Linked DNA regions of Rhinolophus ferrumequinum. The protein of the gene in region 1 binds, or shares a complex with, the protein of each later gene. Links are inferred from orthologs where the notes say so. Each region holds a gene or a part of one and is shown on either strand. Other genes may lie near its edges.

Region 1 (6,965 bases):
GACTTAGGCAACAAGCCCCTCAAACCCTGTCTTCTTTCGACACAAGGGACCACGTCACGCCCCTGCCAGGCCAGACCTGCCCTCACTTTCAGGTTACCCAGCCCTAAGGCCCCGCCCCGTTCCAAGGGCTGTTGCCCGCCTCCCTTGAGAGTAAGCCAGACCCCGCCCACCCGCCTCCAGGAGACCACGCCTCCGTCCACTTCCCGCCCATTTGCTCTTCCCCCCCACCCACCCCGGCCTCGCCCACACTGTCCCTTCGCCACGCCCCTGTCGGCCAATGAATGAGGCTGTTGGCCAAACTGCCCCGCCCCCGTCATTTTAGCTTTGCCCAATAAGGACCACCCGGAGGGTTTAACCGCTTCGCCTCCTGGGCTCTGGCCAAATACCCCGGGTCTTTCCCCACTTCGCCCCCTCCCCCACTAGTTCTGCTCCGCCCTTCGCCACCCTCGCCCGGCCCTCAAGTCCACCACGCAACCTCAGTCGTCGCCGGTTACCATGGCAACGGCGGCAGCAGCGCGGGGAGAAGAGGGAGGGATGGGGGCGGAGTGGGAGAAAGAGATGCTCAGAGATCGAGAGACACCGGCAGAGAGAGACACACAGCGTAAGAATAAGTGTTAGCTGTAAAGGCAGAGTTAGCACAAAGCACAGGGCCTGGCACAAGGTAGGCTTTCAATAAGTATTCCTTAAATTACTGCGGCAGGAGTCTAAATATAGGCAATGAAAGATGGAGGACTCTCAGATGGAGCTGGGAAGCTCAACGACCGCAAAGCCTAAGCACCCCCTATTTTGGGGGGTCAAGAGCCATGTGTCCCCTCCTGGCTCTTCCAGGGCTACCCTCCACTGCCCTGGATAAAGCTGAACCACAACTCCCAACAGCCCCACGGGCAGCAATCCCCTAACACTGAGGGATTTTGTGCCTCAAGGCCTTATGGGAGTTGGAGTCCCCGCCATCCCAAGACTGACAAGTTTTCCGGCCAAGGAATGTGGCAACCCTGGATCTCCATGCCTCTGTAGGATCCCAAATGTATGATCCTCTCTGCGCAAGGCTCCTTACTTAATGGATGCTCAACGTTGGGCTCTATCGAAGAAGTAAGAGTCTGGAAGAGATATGGATAAGCCCCCTTTCCCAGAATGTCAGTGCAGGCAAGCCCCTCACCCTCGCTCACATATGTGTTCACGTGTTGGAAGCAGAGCCCACACATTCCAACTGGCTTTCTGTGTACACCTGCACACGGGACCACAGCCAGGGAGCCTAAGGCTAAGGGGAAGGCTAAGGGCTGGAGGCAGGAGGAGCAGAGAACCAGAGGACATTAAAGGAGAGCAGGCCAGAGAAACTGAAGCCCCCAAAATCTACTGACACTACAAGGGTTGGGAAAAAGAAGCAGCGTAGGAGAAAGCTCACAGAAAAGGAGACCAGCAAGTAGCCCTGGAGATAGGGTGGGGGCTCCAGACCTAAAGGTCCTCAGCCCCCAACCTCTTCCATCCATGTTCACACGCACACGACGCATGTGTACACACATGTGTGAGTTTGTGGCAGGGAACATGTGTGTCCTCAACTCCCTCCTCTGAGAAGCTGCAGTTCCCACTAAATATAACCCCCTCCCCAGCCAGTGACTCACCCAGACCCCGCCTCCCCGGCCCCCACTTCCTGTCCCACCCCCCAACCCCCAGCTGCCTGCCACCCGCCCAAGCCACCCTGCACACACCAAGCATCCAGATTTCCAGTCCGAGAGTCTCACAGCCAAGACCTAGGTATTCTGCATCCACCAGGAGCTTGCTTGTGCTCCCCATCCAAGCTCTTCTTCCCTTTCCAGGCTCCAACCACAGGGACACCCTAGTACAGATCCTCACTGCTGCCAGCCCAGCCGTCCTATTTCTTTTCACTCCAGTCACCTTAAATCCAGGTGTCCTCCCCGACTATGATCCCAAGTGTCAGGGGTAACAGGAACATTCCCCTCCATCTGCTCTTCTCCCTCTTTCTCAACCAAGGGTAGATAGAGTGTGGGAGGAGATGGGGGTATTGGGCACCTACTTAGGCCACCCCCAAATTTTGCACCACCCACCTGGTTCCCCTCTTCAAATACCCTCTCTTCCAAAACCTCAGGAGCTGGCAACCTCAGCTGCTGCAACCCTCTGCCTCCCATGGGAGTGCCCCAGATCCTAACCTCACCTGGTCCATTCCCTCAGGTGAATGTCAGGCCCCAGCTCTCCGACAACTCCCAGCTCTCCCCATTCCATGTGACTGCACCCTAAATTAACAGTTTCCTCAAATTGAGAGCACCCCCAAATGTATCTACCAGGAGATGCTGGTTCTATAGAAAGAAAGCAAGCCCCTTCCCACAGTCTGATACCCCCAGACCAGTCAGGCACTCACAACCAATAACTTCCTACCCCCATGCCATACCAGAACACCCCTGAAATTGGACAAGGCACCTGGAAGCCAGCTTGTTCACCAGGAGGAAAGACGACCCCCCCACATAGTCAACCTTCTAACATACACAAGCAGGACTCCCATGTGAGCCAGGCTTCTCCTCAAATAAGTCTCCCTCAAACATTGTTGGTGAACCCCCAAAACCACCAGACCCCCAAACCACAGAACACCCCAAATTTTCCACTTCTACCAAAGAGATCACTCCAGGGGGCACCTGTGGCCAAACCCAGCGTTTTCTCAAATGGAAACCCCAAAACTAAATTAGGACCCCAAATACATCTTCTGATGCTCCCCAGCCCCAGGTTAGACCTGTCTAACCCCTCCCCACAAACTCATACCCTCCCCCCAGTTTAGAGTCCCCCCATCAGGCTTACCTTGGTTGTCACTATACAGAGACAGTCCATGTTGGGGGGCCTGGCCGCGGTGGCGGGTTAGGGGCTCTGACTTCATCGGAGTTTTGTTCCTCCCCTCCGTGGGTTCTCACCCCTCCCCCCTCCGCACCCCACTTTTGCAGGGGGAGCCAGGATGGGGGGAGGGGTGAGAGGGGAAAGAGGGTGTTGGAGAAGGGAAGGGTAGGGGAGCGTGGGAGGGAGGGGAAGGGGGCCCTAAAAGGGGGTCCCCTATGGAGGGGAGGGGGCTTGGGGAGCACACCCCGGTTCTCAGGAGGGGCGGGGGCACCGGGGGCTGGCAGCCCCGGGGCTCGGGGGCTGGGGCATGAGCTGAGGTGGGGGAGGGAAACTGGATTTCGGGGAGCCCCGGGGTGGGGGGGGTGTCTTGCCTACTGGCCAGAGGCTAGGGGCCTTTGCAGGGGAGGGGGGGGGGCTTGGAGGCGGCAGCGGCCGAGGGAGCGGTGAAGCTGAGGAGGGAAGGGGAGAGAGGAGGAGAGAGGAAGCAGGGGGAGGGAGGGAGGGAGCGAGGAGCCAGAATGGGGGGGTGCCTTGGCAGAGTTAACTCCTTCAGTGCTGGCAGGAACCCGGATAATGGGAAAGGATATGGAAGCAGAAGCGGAGAGGCCCTGAGGCAAACATGGAGACCTGGCCAACCACCAGCAAGGACAGCAGACATGACGAGGGTGGATTTCATTTATTAGAGGAGAAAGCACCCATAGTTGGGCTGGGAGCACCCATGTTTGTTTAAATACTGGACAGGCCATGGCAGGGCTGAGGGAGGGGCTGGCAGGAGGGAATCCCAGGCTTAGTTCTCCCTCAGGATTCACAGAAGGAAACCCGCAAAGTAATTATATCCTGTACTCTTTAGTGCCAGAAATGGGGGCAGGCAAAGGAAAGGAGGAAGCCAGAGGGAGAAGGGGCTAAAGGACAGGAGAGTGCATTCTTTGTGCCCCTAACTCAGGATTTTGTCCCCAGGATCCCAAAGTCTCAGTTCAATATCAGGAGTACTTTGCTTACCCCTTCAACCCTGCCTCCTCCCTCAGGAAGTCAGGCCCCCACCCTCACCCCCTTACCTGACTCTCTGAGATGGAAGCCTCATAATAGTCCAGGATGTCTGTCACAGGAACAGCACTGAGTTACCCTCCCCCACCCCTGCCTCCCTGGCCACCCCTGCCATCACTTCGCTTCCTTCTTTCTGGTAAGGGAGGAGCTCCTCCAGCCAAGGCTAGTGGATAGTCCCTCAGGGAGGGACACTGTTAGCCAGACCCCTGCATGAAACTCCTGCTTGGACCAAATAATCTCCAGGCTCCCAACCAGCCCCCAAATTCAGTAATTGCCCTCACAAGCTTAGGCCAGACCATTCCACCATTGCCCCTCAGAAAATTGGGACTACTCACCCAGCAAAGCCTGGAAGAGGTCACTGTGCAGCACTGTGAGGAGAGGGGGTGCCCATCGCAATAGTGGGGGAGCCAGGAGCCAGAGGGCTGACCTGGGAGCTGGTGAAATGCAAGTGAGGGTGGGCGAATTAGAACAAGGAAGTGAGGACCAATGCCCTCACTCACCTCATCTTTCCCAGCCTTTGCCCTTTCACCCCAGACTCTATGGAAAGGTCAGGGAGAAGGATCCTGAGTCTCAGCCCCACACTCCACCCCCAGGCCTCTGCTTCACAAGGACTTCTATTTTTCACCTCTTGGTCTCTCTGACATCTCTCTCTTCTCTCACTTTAATCTCCCTAATCCCCCAGGATTAGAGCTGAGCTGCCTTCTCCCCACCCAATTCTAGCTCTTAGGTCAAATAAGCGTTCTCAGAACAAACCCAGTGATGTCCCATTCTTCCCTAGGTCCCCAGGCACCTCCACCACCACCTTGTTCCACATACCCTGGGCCCCTCTCCCCAAAGCCAGGCACAATTTAGCTACACTTTCCTAAGGGACTGAGAACGAGGGTCACCCCCAAGGAGGCCCCAATAGCTCAAAAATAAAGGAAACTGAGCTCAGCTCTCTCTCCTCCAGTGCCTGTCCCCAGTGAGAATGGCAGAAAGATGGGCATAAATTACCTGGGACATGTTGCCCAGGAGTAGAGAAGTGTGGAAACATGAGAATTCCTATAGTTCTTCCCAGGCCTGGGAAGACTCCATCTACCCAGAGGTCTAGCCTGAGCACATGGTCTCAGGAAGGAAGGGGTTGCAGAGAGAGAGACAGATGTTGAGGAAGGTCTCAGTGGCCCTACATGGGAGGCAGTGAACTCCAGGAGGGAAGAGGAGGTCCTTGCTACTGTGAAAATTTAGGTGTTTCCAGAGTTAGTGATACTTCCTAGGTCTCAGGAGAATATGCTTAGGACAGTCACACCCCAGTTCGAGTCCCCCACCCCGCCATTCCTCTCCCTTTTGTGGAGATGGACTTGGAGAGATCCCAGAGTCGTCTTTCTATGCCACTGCTTCTATTTATACTTCTCTCTTCCCACCTCTCCTTTCTAACTCTTCTTGGGAAGTTCTCCTTTCAGTCTACCCTACATCCCTCTGGCTGCAAACTTCTTCAGTCCCAGCGTATCCCATCACGCCTTCTGAAGACTACTCTCTAGCTCGGACAGACGGGAGGAAGGAGTTTTGGGAAGACAAGGGACGTTTGGAGATCACCCTAGGTCAACCAGAATGCAGGACTCAGGAGCACTCGGAACTACAGCTCCCAGCATGCCCTGGCGGCCGGAAAGCTCCGCCCGCCTCCCGGGGCATTGTGGGGGATGAGTCAGAGGTGGGGGGGACTCAGACCTTGGCTGACGGGAGTAGAGCGTTAGGTCAGAGCTCAAAGCAGCGACAGCCGGAGCGGTTCAGAGATGCAGGCGGCGAGGACGGCTCCGAGAGTGGGGCGACAGCTGCTGAGGTTGGGGTGCGGGAGGTGTGTATACGCCGGGAGGGATGGGGGCAGCGGGCCTGGGGACCCGGCCAGGACTGAACCCCCAACTCCCCACAGCTCGCGGCCCTGTTCTCTCCTGGGGCAGCCCCAGCCATGCCCTGCCCGACGACCTTATGCCAATGCGGCCACTCAGGTAGGTGACGGCGGCTTTGGGACGGTGGAAGAGGGATGCTCGGGGTGGGCGTCCGACGCGTCTCCCACCTCCCTGACGTGGATAAGGGTCTCCCTCTTAATGCCAGTCATCTGCCGACTGGCTTGGCACAAAAAGTAGGGGAAAGGGCAGGCCAGGGTGCCTGGGGACGAAACTAGGGGAAAGGTCATCGGATCCGCCCTTCCCCGGCACCTAGCTCTCCCGGGCACTTACTTGGGTAGCCCTTTCCCGGCCGCGCTAACTGTCGCTTTCCCCAGGCGGTTCTGGACAAGTCAGATTCTCTCTCTTCTGAGGCTTCGACCAAGGAGAAACGGGCCAAGGCGGTATGTGACCCAAAGCCTGGAGGAGCTAAGCGAGGTGTGGACCCACCTCAGCCAGCCCCCTGAAACCCCCTTCTCCTGGCGCAGGAATCTAAGTCCTTTGCTGTGGGGATGTTCAAGGGCCAGCTCACCACGGATCAGGTGTTCCCATACCCGTCTGGTAAGAGTTAGTCAGAGATAGGTGGGGGCAGGTGGGTTCCCCTGACCTGCCTGGCATGACCTGCCCATACCTGCTGCCCTGCAGTGCTCAACGAGGAGCAGATGCAGTTTCTCAAAGAACTGGTGGGGCCTGTGTCCCGTTTTTTCGAGGTGAGGAATTACTGGGGCTGGGAAAGAGGGCATGGTCCTCTATGGGTTGGAAGAGATTAAGAAGTTCAAAAGGAGCCTGGATGTGGGATCTTGTGACTTCCCCAGGAGGTGAACGATCCTGCCAAGAATGACGTGCTGGAGCAGGTGGAGGAGCCCACCATGCAGGGCCTCAAGGAGCTGGGGGCCTTTGGTCTGCAAGTGCCCAGTGAACTGGGTGGCGTGGGCCTCTGCAACACCCAGGTGAGGGAGCCAGCCCCTCAGTCACTTCCCAGTATCCCAGATTCAGCTCCTCCCTCAACCCTGGGGCTAAGGTCTCTGCCAAGCATCTGGCGGTCTATGGGATGCTGACTCTCCCAATGTGTATACCCTCCTGCTCCACACACACCAAACTACATGCAGGCCCACTAGGGCCATGGACCTCACCCGGGTTCCCAAATCCTAATGAATCTCTAAG
Region 2 (7,551 bases), about 3.3 Mb from region 1:
GCCCTCCTCCCCGCAAACACAGAGACTGGCATTGTCCCCTACCTAACAAGCACCAGTACGACGGTTTCCAAAGCTCTGACCAGGCGAGACTGCAGCTGCTGGAAGAGGTGCTGTGAACTGAATAAAATCAGGAGGTGAGTTTGAGGGAGAAACATTCCATATTTACATAATGGTCTGAGGGCTGAAATTCATCTCCCTTCCCATGGTTACCGCTCTTCCCTGACCCCAGAAAGAAACTGCCCCCAGTGGCATCACCATTGAGCCATACACCCACACATACACCGTTCATCCTAGTTTTGGGGGAGGTGGTCAGTGGAGAGGGGAGAAAACACCACGAGGGACAGTGATATCTCCAGGGTCACGGGCCAATAGAACGCAGGCCAACGCCAGCATCTAAATACCATCAGCATCCTTCCATGTAATGATGAATAAACTCAGTAGGAGGTGGCAAAGTCAGGGCAGGGGGGCAGCTGTCTCTAAGAGAGCAGAGAACAAAGGCTCAGAGAAAAAAGAAACCCAAAGAAAGGTTTGTGGGAATCAACCAGAAAGAGGCCACAGCCAGAGCGGAAGGTGTGAGGAGAAGCCAGGACCACAGGAGAAGGGAAAAGGAGACAACCCTCAGGGCCTGGAAACAGAGACAGAGGGATGATAAGGACCAGGTCCATATGCTCAGGAAGGTGCTTGCCCACAGGCAACACCTTCTCTGTCTTCCAAGATGAGCCAAAAGAGAGAATTCTTTGTCAGATAAGACCCAGGGAGTGTCTTGTCCTTATTTTGCTGTCCATCCCACCTGCCTTCTGCATTTGAGACCAGGCACTGACCCCGGATCATTTGTCACAATTCCTCCATCAGTTCCCAGGATGAGTCCAGGCACAGACCCACTACCTGAGAAACAAGGTGGGAGTTGAATGGCAGGCAGTGGCACGTTAGGGTGATGAGTGAGGGTTATACACGGGACTCCTGGAAACACCCTAATTCCAACACCAGAGTTTCTCAGGACTGAACTAGCCACACTTTCAGGATTTTGACTCAATAAAACCTGCCAGGGAGTATCATCTTTTCTCAACATTCACAGTATCAAAGGGGGAAAAAAATCATGCCTAGAAATTTCTATCTGCCTCTCTCTCTCTTCATCAAGGTACAGGTGATGAATGACCACAGCAGCGAGGGAAGAAGGTTTTCAGGCCAAAAGGATAACAAGCAGAGTGCAGAGATGAGCTAAAGGTGTACAGTTCAGGGTGAGGGGCTCCTGGGCAAACTCAGAAGCAGGACTGGTCTGGGGGCGGGGTGGTCCTGGTTACTTGGGCAAATGCCAGAAACGGAGGCATTTCCTAAGGCAGGATTTGTTCCCTAAAAGGACTCTGTTGAACCACATCCAGCCGTTCACCATCACAAGGGGACTGGAAGCAGAGCTAAGTTTATATCCCCTGGGTGCTTCATTCCTGGAGTTGTAAAAAGAGGCTGGTTTCCTGTTCTCTGGGCTTTGACTTCCCAAAGGGCTTACTGGCAGCTAGAGTAGTCGGGTTGGAGGCAGTCAGGGTGAAATCAGGGACTGCCATATTTTGAGCTCTTGGTAGAAGTTTTGGTAGGAGGCAGCCCCCACCGCCTCCCTAATGTAAGCAGTGAAAGATGCCCAGCAGGTTTCACACAGCAAGAAGTGTTAACTCGGAGAGTCCTGCCTACAGGGTTTAAGAGAACAAGTCCTCCAGGCTCAGCAGGAAAGACAAGCAACCCAGTTGCTTTACAATAGGAGACACCACGTGCCCTTGGTCAATGTGGGACAGATAAATCTTTATTCCTTCCTCACCCAGGAGGCCTCCTTTACATATCTCCTCCATCTCTAACACCATCCAGTTCACACACTAAGTCACTTGGTACTCTTTCCTGCAGGGTTCTAACATTGGTCAGTTTCCTATATTGAAGAAGCTCTGGTTTGACTCAAAACCAAATGTAACAAGTCTACACCAAAGTGCCTCCATGCCATGAAAACTAAACCCTGGATCCCCATCCAGGATTACGGAATTGGTAAAATTCTTACACTCGTACTTCATGGACTCCACCAATCCTTACTTTGCTTTGTAAATGCCCCTAGTACCTCGAACCTGTGTCCGGGTTCTGAAGAAACGGAGACGAGGGTACACGAGGCGCTGATTTATTGCATGTCAAAGCAGCAAGGGTGAAATTGACTTTAGAGACTCCGCAGAAACATGGTGATGCCACGAATGACGAGGACAAGGGAAGCACATTAAGAGGGATGGGGCTGCGGGGGACACTGGGGGGTGGGGAGTGGGCACCCGGCAAAGGCTCTCACCTGTGGATGTTCATCTCCCGCGGAGGGCGGTGGGCCTTGTCATAGGAGACCTTGGCGAAGACACCGGCCACGATGACGAAGGCGATCACCCCGCAGGTGATGTAGACGGTGAAGTTGGTCTTGTCCTTTTCCGGGTCGTACTTGTTTTCGGGCCCCGGCGACACCACCTTGGTGCTGGGCGTCTGTACCCACCCCGGGCTCTGGTAGTTGTTGCACTGGCGCTGGTCCAGCTTCTCGTGGCGCTTCTTGCAGCAGAAGCGGTAGTAGCAGGTGCCGCAGCAGTACAGGTAGCCGCTCTCGCTGTTGTTACACTCGAACTCCTTATCGTACTGGCCGCTCACGTCGTAGTAGCCCCAGCACGTCTCGTAAGTGACGGCCGCGCTGGCCGCCGCCACGGCCGCCGCGGGCTGTCCCCGCCGGCTCCCCGCCTCCGGGACGCCGGACGCTCGGGCGGTGCCGTTCAGCTCACGGCCGCCCCGGGCCAGTGCGCCCCCGGGCCGCCGGCCCCCGACGGCAGCGGCGCCGGCGCTCAGGGTCCGGTTGGCTGCACGGCCGCGGGCGCCTTGGGCTCCGGGCAGCAGGTCCAGGGACTCCAGCGAGAGCATCAGCAGCAGCAGCAGGAGGCTCCGCAGCGCCATGGCGGGGCCGGGCGGGAGGGCGCGAGGAAGCTTCCGCGGCAGGCCGCTGCCCCGGCCGGCGGGCTCCGAGGGCGACAGCGCGGGCCGGGTTAGCGGTGCAGGGCGGTCAGCGGCGCCGGGGCGATGGCGCCATCGAGGCGCGGACGATGGCAGCGGCGACGGCGGCGCGCGGTGCGCACAGACCGGCCGGGCGCGGGCTGCTCTGCTCTCACGCTGCGCGCGGGCTCCGCGCTCCCCCTGCGGGCTCGGCGCGCCTCCAGGGCAGCCCCATCCCCCGCAGGCAGCGGGAGCGGCCCCGCGCACGGATCGGCTCAGGCAGGACCCGGAGCGCGGCTCCCGGCGGCGGCGGCGACGTGGTCCTGTCCCGGCGGGTCCTGCGGGACAAGACGGGGAGCCGGTCACGGGGTGGGTCGATTGGCGCTCCCGGAGGAGGGAGGCAAGAGGCAGGCAGGGAGGGAGCGCGCAGCCCTCGAGGAGCTAGGCTCCGGGCCGGGAGGGGCGCGAACCCCGCTCCCAAGACGGGGCCCGGCGGCCCTGCGCGCCGGCCACCGAGGGCGCACCGGCCGCCCCCGCCGGGCACCGCTCGGCTGCCCAAGCCCCCGGCCGCCGGCCCGGCAGCGCGCTCCCGCCGCAGGCTGGCTCCCTGGGACGGAGCCGGCTGCGGCTGGGGTCGGGCAGCTGGCCTGGGGAGCGCGGTCGCTGGACCTCACTCACTCACCATGCCCGGCTGCGACTGCAGAGGCGGCGGCGGCCAGGCGGGAGCTCAGCGGCCGAAGCGAGCGAGCCGGGAGCCGCGGGCTCGCCGCCTGCACTGGTGCCGGAGCGTGTGCGAGAGGAGCAAGGGAGACACACGCACTCACACTCCCGCACACAAGGGAGCGCCGCGAGGGGAGGGGAGGGCAGCCGCTCACCGCCACCCACGTTTACACGCTCCGGAGCCCGGGGAGAAGGAGGGCTCTTCTCTGCTTCTCCCACCTCGCGGCACTTGAAGCTCCGCGTCACCAAAGCCCAGGACACCCGTTAATCAACATAGCGAACCAGGCCGGCAAAGCGGGGCCGGGAGCTTGGGAGGGAGTGCCCCTTCTGGAGCCGGCCCGCAGGAGACCAAACCTCCCCTGCCTTTGCTCCGTCCAGCCCTGGAGGCGGGTCCTGGGCTGTGCGCTGCCAGAGCTGGAGTTGGGGTTTCTGCAAGCCTTTGCTTCTCCCTAGTGGCGACGCTCGCTGCGGAGAGAAGAGGTCAAACCCATTGCTACAGGTTCCTAAACTGAGACCAGGGGTCAAGCGGCTTATGGGAGGTTATTGGGCTGCCGGTGAGGAGGCCCTACTCTCTTCCCCTTGAGCACTCTGCTCCCGCCCTGCCTCCAACAGGTGCACAGGCACCAGACAGCCGCAGCTGTTGAATGGCTCTTATTCCCTCTTTCCACGACTTTTTCCAGAGCACTGAGGCACAGTTAGATAAGCTCTCTGAGACTCAGCTTTGAAATCCCTCTGCTGTAGCTGAAGGGGAGAAGCGGAGTGGATAGGGCTGTTTTCCTGTAAAGTTGCTGGTCTGGTCTGTGAGAGGCTCAGGTCTAACTGTAACTCTCAAAGCCATGATGTTACCCCAAGAGGGAGTCACAATCGTCTCTTTGGTGTATGTGGGGGCAATGAGAAAAAGCAACAGCCACTGCCCAAATCCTGCCTTCATGTCGTGGCCGTGTGGGCAAGTGCCCAGAGAGCTTAGGCTGAAGGCAGAGAGCAGGTTGTGAGACTGCCCATGGGGGTTGGGGAGTAGAGACTGTCCCCAAGGCTGTCCATTCAGTCCCACTCGTGCATGACTCAAATCAAGGATTCCCCCCTTAGGGAAAGACAGAGAACCTCTTGTTGGAACTGTAGAATGGAGAAATTGAATTTGGAACCCAGATTCCAAGGCACCGGAGGGAGACACTGGTCCTAGGATGGTAGATGCACAAACTCCCCTGGCAACTTCCCACTTGCTGTGATCTCTCCATTCCCTCCGTCTTCGTCTGTACTTACTCCCATTCCCTCAACTTCATCTCAGCTGCCACCCTCTTCTTAACAATTCTGTTTTAGAACCATTTATTTGGTGCCTACCCTCTACCAGGCATTGTGCTAAGTGCTGAGATAACAGGATGAAAAAGCCGGTCCCTTTCCTCAAGGAGGGGGAGCTTGGGGAGACAGATAAACAAATGATCACCATATTGTGGTTATTATGTCCCATGATAAAGGTGGCACAAGTGCTCTGAGAGCACATGACCGGCACCAACCTAACCCTGGAGTCAAAAGGTGGGAGTCCACGGTAGCTTTCTGGATAGTTATGAGCAGAATCTTAAAAAAAAAAAAAAAAAAAAAAAAGATTGAGTTAATACAGCAAACAAGAGGGGAATGACACTCCAGCAGATGGAACATCATCAGCAAAATCAGGAAGACATGAAATAGTGAGGCTGTGTGAGCAGGGGATATAGCAGATTAGCATAAACTCTGAGGGAGTCTTCCAAGTAAAGCTGGCAAAAGGACATTATATCTCCTGCCAAAGAACTTGAATTTATTCTACAGTTGATGAGAAACTATTAGTGGGCTTTACGCAAGGGGAAGGCACTGTCAGATTTACACGTTCGTTGGATCTCTAAGTCAACTGGAATAAGGAACACTGCATGGGAGAAGAGCAATAGGGAAGCTGCTCTGACAATCCAGGTGAAAGTCGATGAAGGGATGCAGTAGCTTCCTGGGAGTTAGTTGGTGCCCACAGTGGAGATGACAAGCATAGTCAAAAAAGCAGGTCCAGGACAGCAGTGGTGATGGATATGTTGAAATGCCTTTAAGAGCTCTAACTGAAACCCCAGCACACGAGTTTCAAGCTCAGGAGAGCAGGTAAGAAAAGCATAGGCATTGGGGAATCATAATATAGGCATATACTGGGGGTGCCAAAAGAATGTATATGAGTGAGTACTTTGGTCAGCGTTGCTCAGGCAGTAGTTTGCCGTAATTAGAAGTGTCTGGATGCTGATGGTCACCACTTTGAGCACCTCTTGTAATTGCAGAAGTCAAACGTGACTTGTATTCATCTATTGGTTATCAGTATGTGAGTTGAGCATTACAATTTTAATAGTTTTTTTCCTTTCTTAAAATGTGTATACATTTCTTTGGCACCCTCTGTATATTTAGTAATCACAACATTTTCTTTACCCTCATACTATGTGCAGTTTTTAAGTCAGTCCCTTCCTTTCCTCTACCCGAAGCTTTCACCTCCTCTTTATTGGCCCAGAATTGCCTATTTCATATCTAGGAGCTTTCTCACAACGGGTAGAAATGTGTCTTCCTCCTATGGGATTCTACCAAGATTTGATCAATGGCACTAAGTAAGGGAAAATACTCTGGTTCCTCAGACAGCCACCACCCACAATTTGTTCTGAACTCCTGTGCTCATAACTGGTAGCATCAATTGACTCACAGAAAATAAGTATCGCCGAGTTGGATAGGATCTTAGGGATTATTTATTCCAACCCTTACTGTAGTACACTATATTTCTTTTTTTTTCAATTACAGTTGTCATTTAATATTATATTAGTTTCAGGTGTATAGCATAGTGGTTAGACATTTATGTAACTTATGAGGTGATCCCCCCAATAAGTCTAGTACCCACCTGACACTGTACACAGTTATTACAATATCATTGACTGTATTCCCTATGTTGTACCGTACATCCCCGTGACTATCTTGTAACTGCCAATTTGTACTTCTTAATGCCTTTACTGACACTTCTAACCCTCTATGTTTGCCCCTTATAGTAGTCCAGATTGGCTGCCTACCAACATCCATTTCCCTACTTTCTCCTTCTAGTTTTGATACCTATTGTTGACAGTATGGAAGTGTCCTTCCTTTGTGGATTTGATTCATTAAAAAGTGCCAAAGAAAAATCATTTTTTTCAACACCTACACCAACTTCAGACAGCCCTTAGCTCAAGGAAAGTGACCAAATCCCTGGCTCTGGAAGATTGATCCCAGTTGGGCTGGCTCGGCCATAATAATCTCATTCCCCTTGCCAATGATTTGTTAAGAATGGACATGTGATCCAGTTCTGGCCAATACAAAGTGAGGGAACTGTTGAGAGATTCTGGGGAGATTTTCCTTGCTGTTAAAACTAGTGGAAATTCCTCTACTTTTCTGAGTGTTGTTTCTCTGGATGTTATGATCTTAAGGCAGGGGGTTGGGGGAGTGGCCAAAACCAGTTATTAGTTGAAGCTGATATTCAATTTAATAGTTATTAGTGCTGCTCACTAAATATCTCTGCCATCCAAACCTATAGTTGAATTGCAATTCTGGGTCCATTTGTGAGTAGAAGTAGAAAGTGACTTAGTAGTACTGGTCGATAAGTCATGAGCAGAAAGGATGTGCATTATTTCTGAAGCGGAGCATCTAATTTCCACTTCAAGAAACTCTGAAGTTCTTGTTTTCTTCAGGCATAGTGACCAGCAATGCTCTATGTGGAAGTGGCTTTATCAGCCTGTAAGTGACTACAGTGAGAAGAGGCCCCACACAATAAAAATAGTGCCCCACCATGGACATGTAGCATGAGTGAAAATGTACTTTTTCTTCTTAAAG

Evidence for each region. Proteins that work in one complex are often made in the same cells at the same time.
Region 2: DLG4 (region 1) and SHISA6 share a complex: the UniProt entries of both Homo sapiens proteins name them as parts of the postsynaptic hippocampal AMPA-type glutamate receptor (AMPAR) complex. The link is inferred for Rhinolophus ferrumequinum from reciprocal best matches to the Homo sapiens genes DLG4 and SHISA6.

What each region holds. Positions count from the first base shown.
Region 1 is NC_046304.1:11,614,585-11,621,549, reverse strand, and holds the start of DLG4 (disks large homolog 4), read right to left. Parts: upstream 3,034-6,965; 5' UTR 2,836-3,033; coding exon 2,806-2,835; intron 1-2,805. Other genes in the region: ACADVL (very long-chain specific acyl-CoA dehydrogenase, mitochondrial), read left to right, coding at 5,652-5,713, 5,789-5,864, 6,140-6,205, 6,290-6,362, 6,447-6,511, 6,617-6,751. UniProt on the Homo sapiens protein: Postsynaptic scaffolding protein that plays a critical role in synaptogenesis and synaptic plasticity by providing a platform for the postsynaptic clustering of crucial synaptic proteins.
Region 2 is NC_046304.1:8,305,999-8,313,549, forward strand, and holds the start of SHISA6 (protein shisa-6), read right to left. Parts: upstream 3,053-7,551; 5' UTR 2,950-3,052; coding exon 2,312-2,949; intron 1-2,311. UniProt on the Homo sapiens protein: Involved in maintenance of high-frequency synaptic transmission at hippocampal CA3-CA1 synapses.